3 linked regions of the Stegostoma tigrinum genome follow. The protein of the gene in region 1 purifies or fractionates together with the protein of each later gene. This does not show direct contact. Links are inferred from orthologs where the notes say so. Each region holds a gene or a part of one and is shown in the gene's direction. Other genes may lie near its edges.

Region 1 (7,530 bases):
CATTAATCGGAAATACATTAAATCCTGAGCAACATGAGGGAATACTGAAATGAGTTACATGTTGGTAAACACAGTTTGCTGATTTGAAATTTCTATTCCATTCTCCCTCCAAATGTAAACAATACTGGAATTATTTCTAATCAAGTGCTGCTTGTTAAAACCTTGCCTTAATTTCTCAAAGTTCAGCAAAACCGTGGAATACATATTTGATTAAAGTTTATTCTTTTGCAAGTAGTTATAGTTCAGTTTGTGCAATGCATGTTCACCTTTTTAATAAGCTTGAAATAAAGTGCATTATGGAAAATTGAGTCTTGGTTTATTTTATATCAATGCAATTATTTCAAGATTACCAGGCATGAACGATCTGAAGTGGTACATTTGCCTCAGGTTGTGGCTCAGTCTCTCAACCTGACTCAGCTCAGAGTCCAGCACAAACAATGCCGAACTGCTGACAATTATATAGACAAATGGTGCAGCCAATTTACATGCAGCACGATCCAACAACTGTGAATGTGATGACTAACCAGTTCATGTATTGTTGGTGGAATCAATTGGGAATTTTGGCCACGGCAATAAGATGCTTTCCTGCTTGAATGAGTTTCTCAGATGGATGCCCAGAAGGATGGGCAAGTTATGTTTTGGTCCAATATCCCAGCCAAAAGAAACGGCACTTCCAACAGCACAGCACAGTGCTTACTCGTTCTTCACCCTCCAACAGTGCAGCACTTCCCCAGTCCAACCTCCCCTCGACACTGACCATCTGAAAGTATCCCACTCCCTTTGATCTGATCCCACCCACAGTGTAGCACTCCCTCAGCTCTGACTCTCCAATAGTGTGGAACTCTCCCAGCACTGTCCATCTTACAATGGACTGCTTGTTCAGTATTGATGGTCCTTCACTACTGAACGTCTGACATTGCGGTGCTCCCTCAGTGCTGACCATCTAACAATGTGGAATTCCCTCAAAGCTGACCCTCTGATGTTGCAGTGCTCCCTCAATCCTGACCCTATGATAGTGTGGAGCTCCCTCAGTGCTGACCCTCTGACTGTGTGGTGCTCCCTCAGTGCTGACCCTATGACAGTGTGCAGCTCCCTCAGTGCTGACCCTCCAGTGGACAGAACGTTTTCTTCTTGCATACCATGTTTGGTTGATTTAGGAGCTGCCAATTTCAACTGATTTAATTTGATTTGATTTGTTGTTGTCACATGTCCCTAAGTACAGTGAAAAGTTTTGTTTTGTGAGCAGTATACGTAGATCATAGCAAACAAGGACACACAGATCATAGTATCAGAGATAATGGGAACTGCAGATGCTGGAGACTCCAAGATAATAAAATGTGAGGCTGGATGAACACAGCAGGCCAAGCAGCATCTCAGGAGCACAAAAGCTGACGTTTCGGCTCTGATGAAGGGTCTAGGCCCGAAACGTCAGCTTTTGTGCTCCTGAGATGCTGCTTGGCCTGCTGTGTTCATCCAGCCTCACATTTTATTATCACACAGATCATAGGGTGCCTTGACAGCAAGGTATACAAGGTTATGGCTGCACAGGAGGTGTACAAAGCAAGATCAACATTAGATTTTAAATTAGAGAGGTCCATTCAACAGTCTGATAACAGCAGGGAAGAAGCTGTTCTTGAAACTGTTAGTGCCTGCATTAAAGTTCTGAATCTTTTACTTGGTGGAAGAGGTTGGAAGAGAGTATTATCAGGGTGGCGGAGTCTTTAATGATGTTGGCAGCTTTACCATAGCAAAGAGAAGTACAAATGGAGTTCATGGATGGCAGGTTGGCTTCCGCGATGGCCTGAGCAATGCACACAACTTTGTGTAATCTCTTATTGCCCTGGGCAGAGCAGTTGCTGTACCAGGGCATTACACACCCAGATAGAATGCCTTCTATGGTGCATCTCTAAAAGTTGGTGAATTTCCTAAGCTGCCGGAGTTTTGAGATTAATCTTGATAGGGATTATGGTGTTGAAGGTGGAACTGTACTGGATGAGCAGGAGCCTGACGTAGTTATCCAGATGTTCCAGGGATGAGAGTACAGCTCGAGAAATGGTGTGTGTTGTAGACTTGTTTTGCCGGTAGGCAAATTGCAGGGCATCAAGACAGGTTGGGAGGCTAGACTTAATGTGGGCCATGACCAACCTCTTCAAACACTTCATGATCATGGAGGACAGAGCTAAGGGGAGGTAGCTGCATGTAGAGACACATTGTCTGTGTTTTCTTTGGTTTGGGGATGATGACGGTCTTCTTGGAGCAGGTAGGGACTTCAGATCTTAGCACTGAGAGGTTGAAGATGTCAGTGAGTACTTCTGTAAGCTGGTCAGCATAGGATCTAAGTGCACAGCTGGGGACTCCGACTGGGCCAGTCACTTTCCTTGGGTTTGCTCTCAGGCAGACTGATCTGATGCCTGCACCAGTGACAGAGAGAACAGGTGCGTCCGGGGCTGTCGGGGCAGGTGACACCGCAGCACTGGCATTCTGCAACTTTTCATAGACCATAGAATAGATGCCATTTGGCATGTTGTCATTCCAGCTCTCACAGCGTGTACATTTCCACCCTTCTGTCCAGAAGGACCTTGTAGTCCAGAAATTTATCAATTTTCAGGTTATTCTCCAACTTTCTTTTGAAAGCCACGATGGGACCTTTCACTATCACACTCTCTGGCAGTTTTTTACTGGTCCTAACCACTCATTGCATAAATGTTTTTCTTCCTTTCACTTGTGTCACTTTTGCTGACCACCTCACAGTGATGTCCTCTTGTTTTCAATGCTTCTGCCAATGGGAGCCATTTTCCCCTATTCATTGAGTCTAGACCTCTGACAATTTTGAGCAGATCCTTCTTCACAAATACCAAATACAGCTTCTCCAATTGATTCACTTAAATGGTGACAATGATGTGCCAAGAAGGAATATAATACTCCATTTGAGGCAAGGAATCGTGTTTTACAAATACTTAACTATAACCTTCTGGCTTTTATACACTGATTTTACTCAGGAGTTTGTAATTTTTTCAAAGATATTTTGGTTGGGGAAGCAGTGTTTAATTTGCCATTTCTTCATTGCTGATGGGTCAAAAGCAGACAATCACAGACTTGTTACAGTGCTGAAGGAGGCTGTTTGGCCAATCGTGATTGTATTGGTGCAGTAAAAGTACAATTCACCGAGTGCTGTTCTCACACCTTCTCCCACCTGACCGTGCACATTCTTCATCTGCTGACACAAATCTCATTCTGTTTTGAAAGGCTGGAGTGAAGCTGTCACCTCCACACTCTCAGATTATGCATTCCCGATCCTAATCACTCACGGTACACAAAGGATTTTCCTTGCATAATTTTTTGCTTCTTTTACTAATCACTTTAAATCCGTGTTTTCCTGATTCTGAGTGGAAAGCGTTTCTCCCTATTCGCTCTGTCCAGGTTCCTAATGATTTTGAAAATTTGATTCAGTCAGATCACCTCTTTGCCTCCTTTTGTTGGGAAAATCATTCCAGCTTCCCCAGTTCTATCTTCAGACCTGAAGCTCCTATCTTTGGAACTATTCTCTTGAAGTATTTCTGTGCTTCCTGCCAATGCATTCACATCCTTCCCAAAGTGTGGTCCCCAGAACTGGGCACAACCCTCCAGTTGAGGCAGAATTATGGTCAAATTCAACATAACTTCCTTGTTTGTGTTCGCTTTGCTCCTATTCACAATTTTTAAAAGAAGAAAAGGCACAAAATTTATGGCCACTTGTGGCTGGCTAGCATAATGATAAAAACAAAGCAAGTGCTCCAGCTGCAAAACTGCAAAAGAGAATCAGAGATAATGGGAACTGCAGATGCTGGAGATTCCAAGATAATAAAATGTGAGGCTGGATGAACACAGCAGGCCAAGCAGCATCTCAGGAGCACAAAAGCTGACGTTTCGGGCCTAGACCCTTCATCAGAGAGGGGGATGGGGGGAGGGAACTGGAATAAATAGGGAGAGAGGGGGAGGCGGACCGAAGATGGAGAGTAAAGAAGATAGGTGGAGAGGGTGTAGGTGGGGAGGGGATCGGTCAGTCCAGGGAAGACGGACAGAAGAGAATCTGTTAGGTGTTGTGATGGAGGATGTCGTCAGAGGATCCTGGTTTCACTTTCTGACAATTCCTTCAACCCAATTTTAAAAGACTGAAGTCCTGACAATGAGATAGGAGGGGACTGTGGGGGAAAAGAAGAGGAAAATACCAGGATGTGTAATAACGAGAAGAGTGATGAATGATTTGAAGTGAGCAATTCTAATTTATCAGATACCCCAGCAACACTGAAGCCCCAAGCACCAGCAGCAGCTTTACTGCGATGCCAGGGCCAGGGCGAGCTCATGCTCAGAGCAGCCGGTGGGCGGGGCAAAAGGGCCGGAATCTTTCAGCGGCGCCGCGGAGTTCCGGCCGGACACCTTTCTTTCCAGGAGGCGGGTTCCGTCCGGACGGGGATTAGCGGCGGACCACGAGGTGGACATGGAGACGCTAGCGGCTGAGTTCGGGGATTTGGATCCGGAGTCGCTGGCGGCACCGGTCCGGGAGGTGGAGGTGAGGCAAAAGCGGGTGGGGGAGATTACACAGGGAGAGGTTGTGGGACGTGGGTGAGGGGGCAGCGCTTAGGTCTCTCTTGCTGCACAGGTAGCTTCCCTGCCTCTGACACAGGAGCCCCGTGTTCAGCTCCCAAAATGTGTAACAGCATCTCTGAACAGGTTGGTTTGAAAGTGTCTAGAAAGCTGTGTAGAGGGTGGGGAGCACATTTAGAGAGATGATGCTTGAAATTTGTGTGAATTCATATCAGAAATGGAGTGAAAGCCTGGGCTGTTTTTTAGACTGGGGAGCGATTTATTGGGGTCCTCTTAACTTTATGAAATGTCTTGATGAAGTCGATACAGAGAGAATGTTTCATCTCGTGGGGAAGACTGTAACCAGCAGCCTTCGATATAAGAGATAATAACAACTGTAGATTTTGGAGAATCCGAGATAACGAGGTGTAGAGCTGAATGAACACAGCAGGCCAAGTAGCATGGCCTGCTGTGTTCATCCAGCTCTACACCTTGTTATCTCAGCCTTTGATATTAGGTAGTCACCAAAAATGTATTAGTAGATACAGAAGATGGGAACAGAAGAATGAGGAGAAGGAATAAGTTATTCATCAACCTCACCCCCAGCCCTCCCAAAAAAGTCTGTGCGGCATTCAATAAGTTCATGACTTGACTGTATCCCCCTCAACTCCTTTCCTGTCTGTCCCACATTGCACTAGACTCTATGGTCAATGGGAAATCTGTCTGACTCAGCCTTAAGTACATTCAAAGGTCCTCTGCTCTCTCGAGGATAATTCCCCAGATTAGTATCCCTGTGTTTGTGTGGTGATGGATGGTCAAACTTCTCATCACTATCTTACGTTGGAGACTTTTAATCTTTAACTGTGACCCCCTCATTCGAGATTCCCACATGAGGGGAAATATCCTTGCAGCATCCACCCAGACAGGTACCCTCCGAATTTTATTTGCTGCAATAAGTTCTACCTCTCATTGTTCCAGACTCTGGATATAGATCCAGACAAACATGAGAGGAAAATATGACAAAACTCCTCATTTAGAGAGAGTGATGAAAAATTGGAACTGGAGACGATGGGGTGAGGTAAAACAAATGGTATAGATGTATTATAGATAACAAGGTGTAGAGCTGGATGAACACAGCAGGCATCATAGGAGCAGGACAGTTTGTTATCTCAGATTCTCCAGCATCTGCAGTTCCTACTATCTCTGGTATATATGTATTTTTGGGGGAACTGAATAAACATGAGCAAGAGGGATTAAGAGTGTTCTGATAGCAGATTTAGATGAGAAGAGATGGTAGGAGGTTTGATCAGAGCAAATATGCTGATATTTGGTTGTGCTGAACAGCTTGTTGAGTTATGTATTCAATGTAAAAATACTGATCTTTGTTTTCTGCTTTTCTAATAGGAAAAATGGAAGCTGCTTCCTGCATTTCTGAAGGTAGCAGAGTTTTTCCTCATTTGCATGTTTTGGTGAGGAGAATGATAGCAGTTGAAATGTTTAATTTGTTCTGTGAAGCTTATGACAATGAGCAACTCTGCACTCAGCCTACAGGTGGTGACAGATCAAACTTGCAATGCAAGAGATAATGGGAACTGCAGATCCTGGAGAATCCAAGATAACAAAGTGTGGAGCTGGATGAACACAGCAGGCCAAGCAGCATCTCAGGAGCACAAAAGCTGACTCCCCACACCCCTCTCTGATGAAGGATCTAGGCCCAAAACATCAGCTTGGGCTGCTGTGTTCATCCAGTTCCACACTTTGTTAAACTTGCAGCACAAGTTGGTGTGTCGCAGAGTTGCTTTCGGAGTTCAGTGGCAAATGTAACTGGGCCGGTGTTTGGGAGAGGGGCGTTGAGCATACTGCGACCTCTTCATCCTGCTTAAATGGAGATTCTTCAGAATGCTATTAGTTGAAAGTTGAGAGGATTGCTTGAATATGCTTGTATTTCCATGTGTTTGGAAAATAAGGGATGATCTGATCAAGGTGTTTAAAATGAGTTTGGCAGAGAGAACCCATTCTTCCAATGGAGGCTTGGCTGTTGAGAAGTGGTCATGAGTGTGAAAAGACCATGTCTGTTTAATTTGGTGCTGTTAAAACTGTAAACGGAGCTGAGAATCACTTTAAAATCACTGCTTCAAAGGATTTGTGCATGTTGTGGAAAGCAGGTGACCTGACATCTATGGCAAGCAACGTAAATAGCTCTTTGAACAAGTAGTAATTGAAGTGATTGCAGATGAATTGCTGAGCGGTTCTGTGTACAGATTCACCTGGGTGTCAACAAGAATTTGCTTAGTCTATGGACTAATGACCAGTTATCGATCACACAAGCCTTTTGTTTGCCAACACTAATTAGTTCTAAGATAACTGAATAGCTTCAGGCTGGGAACAAGATAGAGAGAAATGTTCTGATCTCCGTTAGCTCAGGGGCCGTCTCTCTGTTCTCTGCAGTCAAAACCCATTTTAAACTTGGGGAAAAAATGTCGGTTCATCTTTACGTCAGCAGTTGTCTTAAGCTGTGACTTTTAACTGATGTGTCAGAAACCTTTCATAAGTGAAACAGCCACTTTGTCTCTTACAAACTGTTGGAATTTTCAGAGAAAGGCAACTGAACAGTAACATTCTGAACAACAGAGAATCATAAAGATCATCTGAGCAACCCATGAATAAATACCTGAACTGGCTTCAAGCTTTCCCGCACTCTTAATCTATTTTTCCTATGTGTATGTCTGGGAGGAAGTTTTAAATTGTAGTATTTATAATGCAATTGTTATAACTGCATGTAGTTAGAGAGTAATTACTTGTCATAAATGGTCATTCTTGTTATGTAGAGAAACCTTGTTTGTGCTTTCTATTCACCTGAGTCTGAAAATAAGGTAGATTGAGGAATTTCGAAATCATTAACTTTTGTGGCTTGTGCTATGCCAATGAGCTTTGACAAAATGGCAGTGGAAATCTGTAACTCCCTTT
Region 2 (7,057 bases), on another chromosome or scaffold:
GTAGGGGTTTATAAATTCATGAGGGGCATAGATAGAGTGATTAGCCAAGGTCTTTTTCCCAGGGTACAGGAATCCAAAACTAGAGGTTTAAGGTGAGAGGTGAAAGATTTAAAAAAGACTTGAAGGGAAACTTTGTCATACAGAATGTATGGAACGAGCTGCCAGAGGAAGTGGTGGAGGCTGGTTCAATTACAATATTGAAGTGGGATCTCGATGGGTACATGAATAAGAAGGGTTTAGAGGGATATGGGCCAAATGCTGGCAAATGGGACTAGATTAATTTAGGATATATGGTTGGCATACAGAAGTCAGGCCGAAGGGTCTGTTTCCATGCTGCACATCTCTACGACTCTATGCTATGTGGTCCGGCCTACATGAGATTCACAGTGATGTGGCTGACTGTCAACTGCCCACTCGGCAATTAGGGATGGGAAATAAATGTTGGGTCTAGTCAGCAATGCCACATTCTGTGTACAATTAAAAGACCAGAAAAAGATTTCCATTGATCAAACAGTATTCGCATTCTTGATATCAAACATCATCACTGATAAAAATGTAATTATTGTGAATGTGTAAAGCTTATGATTAAAATAAACCACAAACCTGAACTGGAAGATCACACAGCAATGGATCCTGGACAATCATGGCCAGACCTTCCTGAAATAGGTCCAGGATTTCTGCATGCGATAACTCTTCCTCCTCTTCTACAGCTTTTTCTTGATTGACTACGGCAAAATTTTCTTCCTGCTTAATGTTGGTGGAAAGTGGTTCCTTCTTAATGTCTTCAGTCATCCTCAGTGAATCTTTCAGTGGAATTTAAATGAGAATTGGATTATTATCTGGAAAAGAACGTGCAGAGTTATGGAGAGAAGGTAAGGGAATAGCACTGGGAAAACTGCAACTTTGGAGAGCCAATACAAACATGGCCACCCTCTGTGCTGTAACCATTCTGTGAGTTCAGTTCTTTTTCACAATAGATATTCAAAGCCTCCATGCTTATTATATTAGCCTCATTAGCATTTAAAACACTTGTCAATCTTGCCAATTGCTAACTAGCTCAGTACTGAATCACAGTGGAGTGGACACAGGAGATATGATAGGGCATGGAGGGGGAAAAGAGGTAGTGTGTGTGGGATGGGGGAGGAACGGGAGATATAGAACATAAAACAGTACAGCATAGGAACGGCCCCTTTAGCTCACAATGTTGTGCCGGCCATGACACCAAGTTAAGCTAATCCCTTCCATCTGCCCATGGTCCACATCCATCCATTCCTTTCTTACATACGTGCTTATCTAAAATCCCCTTAAATGCCCCTATTGTATTTGCATCCACCACCACCATGGCAGAATGTATTTAGGGCTATGGAGGAAAACTTGGGAAATAAACTATTCTGCGAAACTGATGATCTATCCAGTCAAGAGTTTTGGATAAGATGATTCCTTAGTACTTAATGATCGGGAACTGCCTCACTTGGAAAACAGGTAGTTTCTTCCAAAATACTTGCTCTAATTTGTGGTTTTGAACTTAGTCATTCTGCAGTCTCCTTCATTCTGACTGTAAACTGATCCACGGTGTACAGTAGGACCTGAATTCTCCCTGTTTCTCACTTCCTGCTGTGATGAGTTGATTTATTTACTGTCTGTTCTTTTAATCTCTGAAATCCATGACACCACATTCCTATAGTCTCTCCCACGTTAATTGCTGTGGCTGTTGTTTCTCTCCCTTTCAATCCTTGTTTTTCTCTTTCTGTCTGTCCCCATCCATCCCACTGTCTGGCTCTCTGTCCTAATCTCTGACTCTCTCTCTCTCTGATTCTCTCTCTCTCTGTTGCTGTCTGTCTCTGTCTCTGTGTTTTTGTCTGAGCTGTTTCTGTCTCTCTCTCCCCCCTCTCTGTGTTTGTCTGTCTGTTTCTGTCTCTCTCTCCCTCTGTGTTTTTGTCTGAGCTGTTTCTGTCTCTCTCTCCCTCTCTGTGTTGCTGTCTGTTTCTGTTTCTCTCTCTCTCTCCCCCTCTCTGTTTCTGTCTGTGTCTGTTTCTCTCTCTGTGTGTTGCTGTCTGTGTCTGTTTCTGTCTCTCTCTCTCTGTGTTGCTGTCTGTGTCTGTCTGTTTCTGTCTCTCTCTCTCTCTCTGTGTTACGGTCTGTGTCTGTCTCTCTCTCCCCCCTCTCTGTTTGTCTGTCTGTTTCTGTCTCTCTCTCTCTGTGTTTCTGTCTCTCTCTCCCTCTCTGTGTTTCTGTCTGTGTCTGTTTCTCTCTCTCTCTCCCCCTCTCTGTTTCTGTCTCTCTCTCTCTCTCCCCCTCTCTGTTTCTGTCTCTCTCCCTCTCTGTGTTTCTGTTTCTGTCTCTCTCTCCCCCTCTCTGTTTCTGTCTGTATGTTTCTGTCTCTCTCCCTCTCTGTGTTTCTGTCTCTCTCTGTGTTGCTGTCTGTGTCTGTTTCTGTCTCTCTCTCCCCCTCTCTGTTTCTGTCTCTCTCTCTCTCTCCCCCTCTCTGTTTCTGTCTCTCTCTCTGTGTTGCTGTCTGTGTCTGTTTCTGTCTCTCTCTCCCCCTCTCTGTTTCTGTCTCTCTCTCTCTCTCCCCCTCTCTGTTTCTGTCTCTCTCTCTCTCTCCCCCTCTCTGTTTCTGTCTCTCTCTCTCTCTCCCCCTCTGTTTCTGTCTCTCTCTCTCTCTCCCCCTCTCTGTTTCTGTCTCTCTCTCTCTCCCCCTCTCTGTTTCTGTCTCTCTCTCTCTCCCCCTCTCTGTTTCTGTCTCTCTCTCTCTCTCCCCCTCTCTGTTTCTGTCTCTCTCTCTCTCCCCCCCCTCTCTGTTTCTGTCTCTCTCTCTCTCCCCCCCCCTCTCTGTTTCTGTCTCTCTCTCTCTCCCCCCCCCTCTCTGTTTCTGTCTCTCTCTCTCTCTCTCTCCCCCTCTCTGTTTCTGTCTCTCTCTCCCCCTCTCTGTTTCTGTCTCTCTCCCTCTCTGTGTTTCTGTTTCTGTCTCTCTCTCTCTCTCTCCCCCTCTCTGTTTCTGTCTGTATGTTTCTGTCTCTCTCTCCCTCTCTGTGTTTCTGTCTCTCTCTGTGTTGCTGTCTGTCTCTGTTTCTGTCTCTCTCTCCCCCTCTCTGTTTCTGTCTCTCTCTCCCCCTCTCTGTTTCTGTCTCTCTCTCCCCCTCTCTGTTTCTGTCTCTCTCTCTCCCCCTCTCTGTTTCTGTCTCTCTCTCTCTCTCCCCCTCTCTGTTTCTGTCTCTCTCTCTGTGTTGCTGTCTGTGTCTGTTTCTGTCTCTCTCTCCCCCTCTCTGTTTCTGTCTCTCTCTCTCTCTCCCCCTCTCTGTTTCTGTCTCTCTCTCTCTCTCCCCCTCTCTGTTTCTGTCTCTCTCTCTCTCTCTCCCCCTCTCTGTTTCTGTCTCTCTCTCTCTCTCTCCCCCTCTCTGTTTCTGTCTCTCTCTCTCTCTCTCCCCCTCTCTGTTTCTGTCTCTCTCTCTCTCTCTCCCCCTCTCTGTTTCTGTCTCTCTCTCTCTCTCTCCCCCTCTCTGTTTCTGTCTCTCTCTCTCTCTCCCCCTCTCTGTTTCTGTCTCTCTCTCTCTCCCCCTCTCTGTTTCTGTCTCTCTCTCTCTCTCTCTCCCCCTCTCTGTTTCTGTCTCTCTCTCTCCCCCCCCCCTCTCTGTTTCTGTCTCTCTCTCTCTCTCCCCCCCCTCTCTGTTTCTGTCTCTCTCTCTCTCCCCCTCTCTGTTTCTGTCTCTCTCTCCCCCTCTCTGTTTCTGTCTCTCTCTCTGTGTTGCTGTCTGTTTCTGTCTCTCTCTCTCTCTCCCCCTCTCTGTTTCTGTCTCTCTGTGTTTTTGTCTGTGCTGTTTCTGTCTCTATCTCTGTCCCTCCTTGTGCCTGCACACCCTCCCCTCGACCCCAGCCGGACAGAGTTTGTTCAAACGGACTCCAGACCCTGATCCTGACACGAGCACGCACTGTCTCTGTTCCTCCCTCTCTCCGAGGCCTCGTGGTCCGCACCAGCCCTTCCCCCACCCCCGGAACCAAAATCCGGGCGCACGGTGAGAAGGCTCTGGGCAGTGTTTCTGTTTCCGGTTCCGGCGATGCTGCTCTTTTGCCCGACCTGCGGGAACGTCCTGATTGTGGAGGAGGGACAGAAATGTTATCGTTTCGCGTGTAACACCTGTCCGTACGTTCACAACGTCACCCGGAAGGTGGGGGACGAGACTTAGGGGCCGGGGCCGGAGAAGGGGGTCGGAAATGAAGGAAAGCAGGATGGGAGAAGGTTAGGATAACAAGGTGTGAGGCTGGATGAACACAGCAGGCCAAACAGCATCTCAGGAGCACAAAAGCTGACGTTTCGGGCCTAGACCCTTCATCAGAGAAAGAAGGGGGGGGATGGAGAGCAGAGGGGGAGGGGAGAGTGGGATGTAGGGAATGGGGTGGGGTATCGATGAGGAAGGAGATTGAGTGGTGGAGGATATTTTATTCATACACAAACGTATTTATTAAGCTGATTGTACCTTGTTGAAAATGTTTATACCTGGATGAATGGGAAATGGCTGAAATATGTGATACTTTAGAGACTAATGTAAATTGGAAATCAATAATGACTGTGTTCAGGGCACTTTCCTTTGAACTCACTTTATTGACTTGCTTGTGTGCAAAATAACAAGTGATATTTTTCCTTTGTATTGAAGGTAACAAGCAGAAAATATCCCAAGCTTAAGGAAGTCGATGATGTGTTAGGTGGAGCTGCTGCTTGGAAAAATGTTGACTCTACAGCAGGTATGGTAATTAAAACAACTTGTCACGTGAAAGATGAGGTTGGGTAATATGGGTCACGTGATAGCTTGCATTATTCTACACAGTTGTTTTGTGTAACATTCCCTACAGAGATCCTTAGCTTTTACTTAGATTCTCTATGATGTGGAAACACGCGCTTCGGCCCAACAAGTCCACACCGCCCCTTGCAGCATCCCACCCAGATCCATCCCCCTGTAACCCACGCACATCTGAACACTACAGGCAATTTAGCATAGCCAATCCACCTAGCCTGCACATCTTTGGACTGTGGGAGGAAACCGGAACACCCGGAGGAAACCCACGCGGACACGGGGAGAATGTGCAAACTCCGCACAGGCAGTCGCCCGAGGCTGGAATCGAACCTGGATCCCTGGTGCTGTGAGGCTGCAGTGCTAACCGCTGAGCCACCATTTTAAAAGATAATTCAAAATTCCGGTTCATTGCTCAGAGAATGATGCACTGAGATTTCACATTTTAAGACATATTGTAACAAATGAGTGAAGACACTTAACTAATACATTTTCTTGAAAGACAACATGTACCATAACCCATAAAGCCCTTATTCTGAGCAAAACTGAAGAAGAGAACACAGTTCAAACATATTCTTTACACTTTCCTTCATGTAGGCATTAAATATTCCCAGGATCAATCCAAAGTGATACTGGGATACCAGGGTTAATGCAAAGTACTGCAGATGCTGGAGAGCTGAACTAAAAACATTGTTGGAAATACCTGGATCATCTTACCATTACCAATAACACCTACACTTCATCTGTATCATTTCTCTCCCTCCATGCACATTCTCTTCATCTTTTATTCTGGTGTGCATTCCCAGCTTGCTCTTCCTGTTCCATTTCCAACAACATAACAACTATCATTTTTTCCAGACATAACAAGGTGTAGAGCTGGATGAACACAGCAGACCAAGCAGCAGCAGAGGAGCAGGAAGGCTGACGTTTTGGGCCGAGACCCGTCTTCATTTTTTTTCTGAAGGGTCTAGGTCTGAAACGTCAGCCTTCCCTTTCCTCTGCTGCTTGGCCTGCTGTGTTCATCCAGCTCTACACCTTGTTATCTCAGATTCTACAGCATCTACTATCTCTGAATCATTTTTTCCAGCCTACTTCTGAAGAGAAGTCTCACAGAGTTGAAATATTCCCATTTTGCTCCCCACAGAGGCTGTCAGACTTGAATTTCTTCAACATTTTGTTTCTATTCTTAGCCCTGAGAAATAATTTTTTTTAAATTTTTCTGGAGACACGCTTTCTGTAGCCCTAAGTGGTTCCCCAGCCTCATGTTGTCTCCCTGTGAGTTTGATCTTTTCCATCCAAGCATGATTCCAGTATGGTTCCAGCACTTTCAGACTTTTTGCTTACTAGCTGCTCCCTCAATCTTGGATCGAGATGTCAGAACAGCTTTGTTCTACCTTGCATTAAAGACACAGTCCTAAACAAAACAAACTCATATTTGTAGTCAATACAGTGTGGAGCTGGAGGAACACACCAGGTCAGATATCATCTGTGGAGCAGGAAAGTCGACATTTCGGGTTCACACCCTTGATCAAACCGCTGTGTTCCTCCAGATGACTCTGACTCCGGCATCTGCAGTTCTTGCTATCGCCAAACTCATATTTGTAGCAGGGGGCAACTTTAACCTAAAGACACAAGTGCGGATCTCGCTATAGCAGCTTCCTTCTCTAAGTTATCTTAAGAGCTGTCATAGATCCTTGGCAAGACTGTCAAATTTATGTTACCAGGTTAGGGACCAGTAACTTTAAACACTAAGTACATGAAGTTTAAAGTTGCAAGAACTCACTAAGATTAATGCTGTAGGATTCTGTTTTTAAACAAATAAAATAAACTTGACTTTACAAGGTTAGGAAAGTAATACAGTCTATAACGTGCATGCAGCTTTGACAGCCATAATTAATGTGAAGTATATTTAGGTTTACAGCCAAATATTGGTTGAACATCACATAGAGCATATCCAATATCAGATCAAGCAGGTCGAGAGATCCCAAGGATTTCCCAGCAGCCCAGCCAGATGTTCGTGACACTGTGGGCACAAAATCTCATTTAAAATTTTGCTCTCTGCAGAGAGAAATAACTCTGAATCGCTCTCAAAGCTACTCTTGACAGACTGTGTTTCAAAATTCATCACATTTAGATAATTCAATCTCTCCTTCTGAGACCACGTTGCCTGGGACAGGTTGAATAGGTTAGGCCTGTGCTTATTTGAATTTGGAGGAATGAGTGGTGACCTTATTGAAACATGTAAGATTCTTAGGGGGCTTGTTAAGGTA
Region 3 (6,949 bases), on another chromosome or scaffold:
AAGTGTGCGGCTGGATGAACACAGCAGGCCAAGCAGCATCAGAGGAGCAGGAAAGCTGACGTTTCGGGCCTAAACCTTTCATCAGACAGCCTCTCTGATTGAAGGGTCTAGGCCCGAAACGTCAGCTTTTGTGCTCCTGGGATGCTGCTTGGCCTGCTGTGTTCATCCAGCTTCACACCGTGTTATGTCGGATTCCCCAGCGTCTGCAGTTCCCATTATCGCTAGTGACGGAGAGTGTTCAACACCTCTGCTTTGTGAGTGAGTGAGCGTGTGTGGGTGCTCAGGGCAGGTTTACTCAAAGAAACCTACAGCACAGAAACAGGCCCTTCGGCCCTCCAAGCCTGCGCCGATCAAGATCCTCTGTCTAACCCGACATCTATTTTCTAACAGTCTGTGTCCATTTGCTCTCTGCCCATCCATGTACCTGTCTAGATACATCTTAAAAGATGGTATCGTGTCCACCTCTACCACCTCGGCTGGCAACGTGTTCCAGGCGCCCACCAGCCTCTGTGTGAAGAACTTTCCAGGCATATCTCCCTTAAACTTTCCTCCTCTCACTTTGAACTCATGACCCCTAGTAATTGAGTCCCCCACTCTGGGAAAAAGCTTTTTGCTATCCACCCTGTCTATACCCATCATGATTTTGTAGACCTCAATCAGGTCCCCCCTCAATCTCCGTCTTTCTAATGAAAATAATCCTAATCTATTCAACCTCTCTTCATAGCGAGCACCCTCCATACCAGGCAACATCCTGGTGAACCACCCTTGCACCCTCTCCAAAGCATCCACATCCTTTTGATAATGTGGTGACCAGAACTGTACACAGTACTCCAAATGTGGCCGAACCACAGTCCTATACAACTGCAACATGACCTGCCAACTCGTACTCAATACCCCGGCCAATGAAGGAAAGCATGCCATATGCCTTCTTGATCACCCTATTGACCTGCGTTGTCACCTTCAGGGAACGATGGACCTGAACACCCAGATCTCTCTGTTCATCAATTTTCCCCAGGACTTTTCCATTTATTGTATAATCAGTGACAGACTTTTGAATGATTGTGAACCAGGACCAACTGCAACGCTCACCATTGTAGCAATTTTCTGATTGACTTCTGGGCAAGCTGCTGCAGCTTGGTGATTGCGCGATACAAAATAAAACTCTAACATGCGAAGGAGAAAACTTCCTCCTTGAGAGGAAAATGGACGGGGGAGAGACACCTTCAGAGACACTGGAAGGTGGTCAACGTGGGGGAAGAGAGTGAGGGTAAGAAGGAAGAGTGGCGTCAGAGGCAGGAAAGGGAGAGGTGCGAGGGAGCACGGGTACCTGGCCATGCGGAAATACCGTTGGATGAGATCGCCCTCCAGGGTCTCTGCCTGGCTGAGTGTCTGCTCCTGAGATGAGGCAACATAATCAAAGGCTTCAGGGAGGAAGAGGAACTTGGCCCCTCGCTCTGCCCCCTCCCTCACCAGCGCCTGACACTCAGCAAAATTTCTCTCCTTGTCCCCCGTGCTGTTCAGCTGGCACACTCCAATCAAACTCCTCTTCAGCGTCGCCATCCCTCGCAACCTGTCCAAGACAGAGAGAGAGAGAGTGAGTGTCGCATAGAGACACACCTTCCCTCGAACCTCCTTCAAACCAGCTTCCAACATTCCTCAAGAAAAGACATCAACCGCAAACTTGCAGACGGGAAAAGACGTTGCCAAACTGGGATACTTTCGACTCCCAGGCACTCTCAGCGAGCCGCTCCCACGTTCCTTCCGGCGCCCAGTCCTTCCTCACCAACACCCACCACCTCATCTACCCGAGAAAGAGCAACAGGGAAACAAGAGCGTAGGAACAAATGGGTCGCTCGCAGAGTGGGAACGGTCAATACTGCCAGCCTGAGCAGCCGGCCCCGAACTATCCACAACTAACATCAGTAATTTGCAGCAAGGAATCCAGTGTGAGAACTGGGTGGGGGCTGTGAGCAGTGAGGAGGTTACAGGGCAATTTAGCGAGTGGACAAATACAAGTACCGTCACACAGAGAAAGGGCAAATTGTCAGCTTTGGTAAGGGTTTAAACAAACCCCAGAATCACAGAGTCTGAGTTAAGCATTGATAGACCAGGAAAGCTCGATGCACAAAAGGGTCCTGGGTGTCCCTGTCCTCTGGTCATTGGGAAGCACACAGGCAGAGCTCAGGAAGCGAAGGGGGGTTAGCGGAGGGGGAATAAGTGATGGGGAGGGGAGGGATGTGAGGGATGGAGATTGGGGGGATGGGATTTTGCATGTGTGGGGTAGGGGGATGTGTGGCTGGGGAGGGCTTGTGAAGGCTAGGAGATGTGAGGGATGGGGGTGTAGGCTGTGGGGTTGGTGATGTTGGGAAGAGGGATAATGGGAATGGGGGGGCAGTTACTGGGGGTGTATGCTGATGGAATGGATCAGGGATTAAGGGGGTAGGGGTTGATGGGAATGGGGGTAAAGGGAGAGGGGTGATTACTCGGGTCTGAGATAAAGGGGGTAGGGGATGATGGGAATCAGGGTAAAGGGGAGGGGTGGTTACTGTGGGAGGGCAGATGATGGGGAGGATAAAGGAAATTGGGGTAATGCAGGAGGAGAGATCACTGGGGGATGATGGGAAGGGAGTATAAGGGGATGGGGGTGACGGGAAGTTGGGTTAAGGGGATGGGGGATGATGGGAAGTGAAGTGGATAAACGGTTGGGGGATGATGGGAAGTGGGGTATATGGGGCATGATAGGAAGTGAAGTGGATAAAGGGTTGGGGGATGATGGGAAGTGGGGTATATGGGGGATGATGGGAAGTGAAGTGGATAAAGGGTTGGGGGATGATGGGAAGTGGGATACATGGGGTTGAGGGATGGGAGACAATGGGAAGGCGGGATAAGGGGATGGGGGAACGATGGGAAGGCGGTATAAGGGGATGGGGGTGACGATGGAAAGGGGGGGATGGGGGATAAGGATGATGGGGGGGTGATAGGGGGATGGGGATGATGGGAAGTTTGGGGATAAGGGGATGATGGGAAAGGGGGTAAAAGGGGGACAGTTACTGGGGGCACATGATGATAGAATGGGGAAGGGGTGGTTACTGGGATCAGGGATTACCCAACCCTAATCCTAATCCTAATCCTAACCCTTTCACACAGGGATGATGGGAATTGGGATGGGGGAATGTTGGGAAGGGGATGGGGGGAATGAGGGGATAGGGAATGATGGGAAGGGGATGGGGGAATAAGGGGATAGGGAATGATGGGAAGGGGGACGATGGGAAGTGGGGGGATAGGGAATGATGGGAAGTAGGGGGATAAGGGGATAGGGAACGATGGGAAGGGGACGGGGGAATGATGGGAATTGGGATGAGGGGAATGTTGGGAAGGGGATGATGGGAGGGGGGATGATGGGAAGTGGGGGGATAAGGGGATAGGGAATGATGGGATAGGGAATGATGGGAGGGGGCGGTTACCAAGCAGCCAACGTCACGCGGAGGCTGAGAGAGAACATGCCCCTGCGCCCAGTGTCCGTGGAAACCCGCTCAGGGGGCCTGACGCTGAATTAGCCGCCTATCTACCTGCCTGCTGTCAGATATGGACACACCTTTGAGGGGAGGGGGAGGACAAACTCGGCCCGAACACCATTCCCACAATGCTACAACATTCAGGGAAAATTTCGCCGAAGTTTTTTCTGGAGGGGGGGGGCGCAGAAAAAAGACGGCTTCACAAAATGATCGGCGTGAAAAGGGGTTGGATGTGAAATTGAGAGCCGGTTCACGGTTTATTGATTTATTTCGGTGTGTCGGCGGGGTTTTGTTTACGCTGCGTTTTTTTTATATGTAACTGGTTGACTTCCCTCCCGCTGTTGATGTGAAAGCCCAGTCAGGCGGTATCCGCGGGCACCACCCACCGTCTCTATAAAAGGAGGCCGGAGGGCCCCGCCCCTCTCCAGTGGTGGGATGGAGGGACCCGGCGCGGTAGGGATGCTGTCGGGAGGCCGGGCCCAACAGGCCCAGGCCGCCGCCCCCACACCCGAGCAGGTGCTGGCCGGCTTCAACAAACTGCGGCAGGAGCAGCGCGGCCTGGCGGGCAAAGGGGCCGAGCTGGAGCAGGAGGTGGCGGAGCACGGGTAACGGGACGGGGAGGGAAGAGAGAATGGAAAGGGTTGGGTGGGTGGGCGGGTCGGGGTTTGATTATATATAAATGGCACAGGCCCTTGGCCCATGATGTTGTGCCCAACTTTTACCCTAATCCTAAGGTCTACCTAACCTCCACCCCTACCTTATACTTCCATCCATATACCTGTCTAATAGCCGCTTAAATGCCCCTAATGAGGCCGACTCTACTCCCCTCTCCGACCACTCTCTGAGTAAAGAACCTCCCTCTGATGTCACCCCTATATCTACCTCCACTCACTTTAAATCTATGTCCCCTCATCATAGCTACCTCCACCCTAGGAAAAAGTGTCTGGCTGTCCACTCTATCTATATCTCCGATCATTTTGTACACCTCTGTCAATCACCTCTCATCCTTCGTTGCTCTAAAGAGAAAAGCCCTAGCTCTCTCAACCTTTCCTCGTAAGACCTTCCCTCCATTCCAGACAACATCCTGGCAAATCTCCTCTGCACCTTTTCCAACACTTCCACATCTTTCCCTGTAATGAGGCAACCAGAACTGGACACCATACTCCAGATGTGGCTGAACCAGGCTTTTGTATAGCTGGAGCATAACTTCACGGTTCTCAATCCCTCTATTACTGAAAGCTCACACACCGTACACCTTCTTAACAACTCTATCCACCTGGGTGGCAGCTTTCAGGGAACTGTGGACATGAACCCCAAGATCCCTCTGCTCCTCCACACTGCCAAGAACCTTTCTGTTAACCCTGTATTCTGCTCTCAAGCTTGCCCTTCCAAAATGAGTCATCTCTCACTTTTCAGAGTTAAACTCCATCTGCCACTTCTCAGCCCAGCTCTGCATCCTATTAATGCCCCTTTGTAACCGAGGACAGTCCTCCGCACTATCCACAACACAACCCACCTTCATATCGTCCGTGAACTTACTAATCCACCCTTCCACTCCTTCATCCAAATCATTTACAAAAACCACAAATAGAAGAGGACCCAGGATAGATCCTTGTGGTACACCACTCGTAACTGAACACCATGTTGAATGTTTTCCATCCACTACCACCCTTTGCCTTCTAAGGGTCAGCCAGTTCTGAATACAATCTGCCACATTACCCCCTATCCCATGCCTCCTTACCTTCTGCATGAGCCTATTACGGGGATCCTTATCTAATGCCTTACTTAAATCCATGTATACCACATCCACTGCTCCACCTTCATCCACGAGTTTGGTCACCTCTTCAAACAATTCAATAAGGTTTGTGAGGCATGATCTGCCCCTCACAAACCCATGCTGACTATCACAAATCAAACTGTCTTTCCGAGTGATTGTGAATCCTATCTCCGAGTCCGTTCCAATAATTTACCCACCATTGAAGTAAGACTAATTAGCCTGTAATTTCCAGGGTTATCCTTATTCTGTTTTTAGAACAGGGGAACAATGTTCGTCTCTCTCCAGTCTTCCGGCAGTATACCCATGGACAGTGAGGACGAAAAGATCATTGCCAAAGGCCCTGCAATCTTGTCCCTCACTTCCCATAGAATCGTTGGATGAATCCCATCAGACCCGGGGGACTTATCTGTCTTCAACTTCCTCAAAATTCCTAGCATATCTTCCTTACTGACATCGACTTCCTCTAGTCTACCAGCCTGTTTCACAATGTCTTCCTCTACAACTAGGTTCCTCTCAGTTGTGAATACTGAAGAAAAGTATTCATGAAGGACCTCTCCTATCTCTTAAGGCTCAGTGCACAAATGCCCTTTACAGTCCATGATCGGCCTTGCCCTATCTCTGGTTATTCTCTTATTCCTCACGTATGTGTAAAAAGCCTTGGGGTTTTCCTTGATCCTATCTGCTGAGGTTTTTCTCATGCACCCTTTTAGCTCTCCTAAGCCCTTCCTTCAGCCCCTTCCTGGCTAACTTGTATCCCTCTAGAGCCTTTTCCGTTCCTTGTTTCCTAAACCTTATATAAGCCTCCTTCTTCCTCTTAACCAGACGTTTGACCCCTCTTGACTGCATCTTCTCTGCCTGCTAGGGACAAACACATCAAGCACACAAGCAGTCTGCCTTCTTTAAACAATCTCCGCATTTCAATAGTGCTGTTCCCTGACAGCATCTGTTCCCCTTTAATGTTACCCAGTTCTTGCCTAACAGAATTAATGACCCTTGCCCCAATTGTAAACCTAACCCTGCTTTACGTATCTATTCTTTTCCATGACTGTTGTAAAAGTAACAGAGTTATGATCGCTATCGCCAAAATGCTCTCCTACCCACAGGTCTAACACTTGGCCCGGTTCATTGCCAAGCACCGTACCTAAAGTGTCCTCTCCTCATGTTGCTGTATGTACTTACCGTGTCCGGAATCCTTCCTGAATGGACTGGACACAATCCGTTCCATCCCAACTATCAACTAACATGTTCCCAATCAATATTTGGAAAGTTGAAGTCACCCATGACTTGTAACCCTGTGACTTCTGCACCTTTCCAGTATCTGCCTCCCAATCCGCTCCTCCACTTCTCTGCAACTATTAGGGGTCTGTTTATATAAAAAAAACCCCAACAAAATGACAGCTCCTTTCTTGTTCTGGACCTCAACCCAAACTGACTCTGTAGACACATCATTCTTGAACTGCCTTTTAGTAGCTGCTATACTCCCCCTGACTAGCAATGTCACTCCCTATTTCTTCCAAAGCATCTAAATCCCGGGACTTCCAACAACCATCCCTGTCCTGGAGTTACCCAAGTTTCTGTAATGGCCACGACCCGTAATGATTGATGGAGTTAACCTGGGTGGGGGAGTCTGTAGATGTGGTTTATTTGCATTTCCAGA

The links.
Region 2: the proteins of polr3b (region 1) and polr3k purify together in Homo sapiens (affinity purification with mass spectrometry; 6 studies listed by BioGRID and IntAct, with this or other methods). This does not show direct contact. The link is inferred for Stegostoma tigrinum from reciprocal best matches to the Homo sapiens genes POLR3B and POLR3K.
Region 3: the proteins of polr3b (region 1) and pfdn2 purify together in Homo sapiens (affinity purification with mass spectrometry; 3 studies listed by BioGRID and IntAct, with this or other methods). This does not show direct contact. The link is inferred for Stegostoma tigrinum from reciprocal best matches to the Homo sapiens genes POLR3B and PFDN2.

The regions. Positions count from the first base shown.
Region 1 is NC_081371.1:48,529,103-48,536,632, reverse strand, and holds the start of polr3b (DNA-directed RNA polymerase III subunit RPC2), read left to right. Parts: upstream 1-4,441; 5' UTR 4,442-4,477; coding exon 4,478-4,549; intron 4,550-5,967; coding exon 5,968-6,000; coding exon of another isoform or gene 6,001-6,032; intron 6,033-7,530. UniProt on the Homo sapiens protein: Catalytic core component of RNA polymerase III (Pol III), a DNA-dependent RNA polymerase which synthesizes small non-coding RNAs using the four ribonucleoside triphosphates as substrates.
Region 2 is NC_081376.1:5,099,509-5,106,565, forward strand, and holds the start of polr3k (DNA-directed RNA polymerase III subunit RPC10), read left to right. Parts: upstream 1-4,031; 5' UTR 4,032-4,055; coding exon 4,056-4,166; intron 4,167-4,652; coding exon 4,653-4,740; intron 4,741-7,057. Other genes in the region: snrnp25 (U11/U12 small nuclear ribonucleoprotein 25 kDa protein), read right to left, coding at 604-792. UniProt on the Homo sapiens protein: Core component of RNA polymerase III (Pol III) which synthesizes small non-coding RNAs using the four ribonucleoside triphosphates as substrates. Can mediate Pol I proofreading of the nascent RNA transcript.
Region 3 is NC_081399.1:9,851,160-9,858,108, forward strand, and holds the start of pfdn2 (prefoldin subunit 2), read left to right. Parts: upstream 1-3,923; 5' UTR 3,924-3,950; coding exon 3,951-4,120; intron 4,121-6,949. Other genes in the region: nit1 (deaminated glutathione amidase), read right to left, coding at 1,328-1,570, 2,072-2,160. UniProt on the Homo sapiens protein: Binds specifically to cytosolic chaperonin (c-CPN) and transfers target proteins to it. Binds to nascent polypeptide chain and promotes folding in an environment in which there are many competing pathways for nonnative proteins.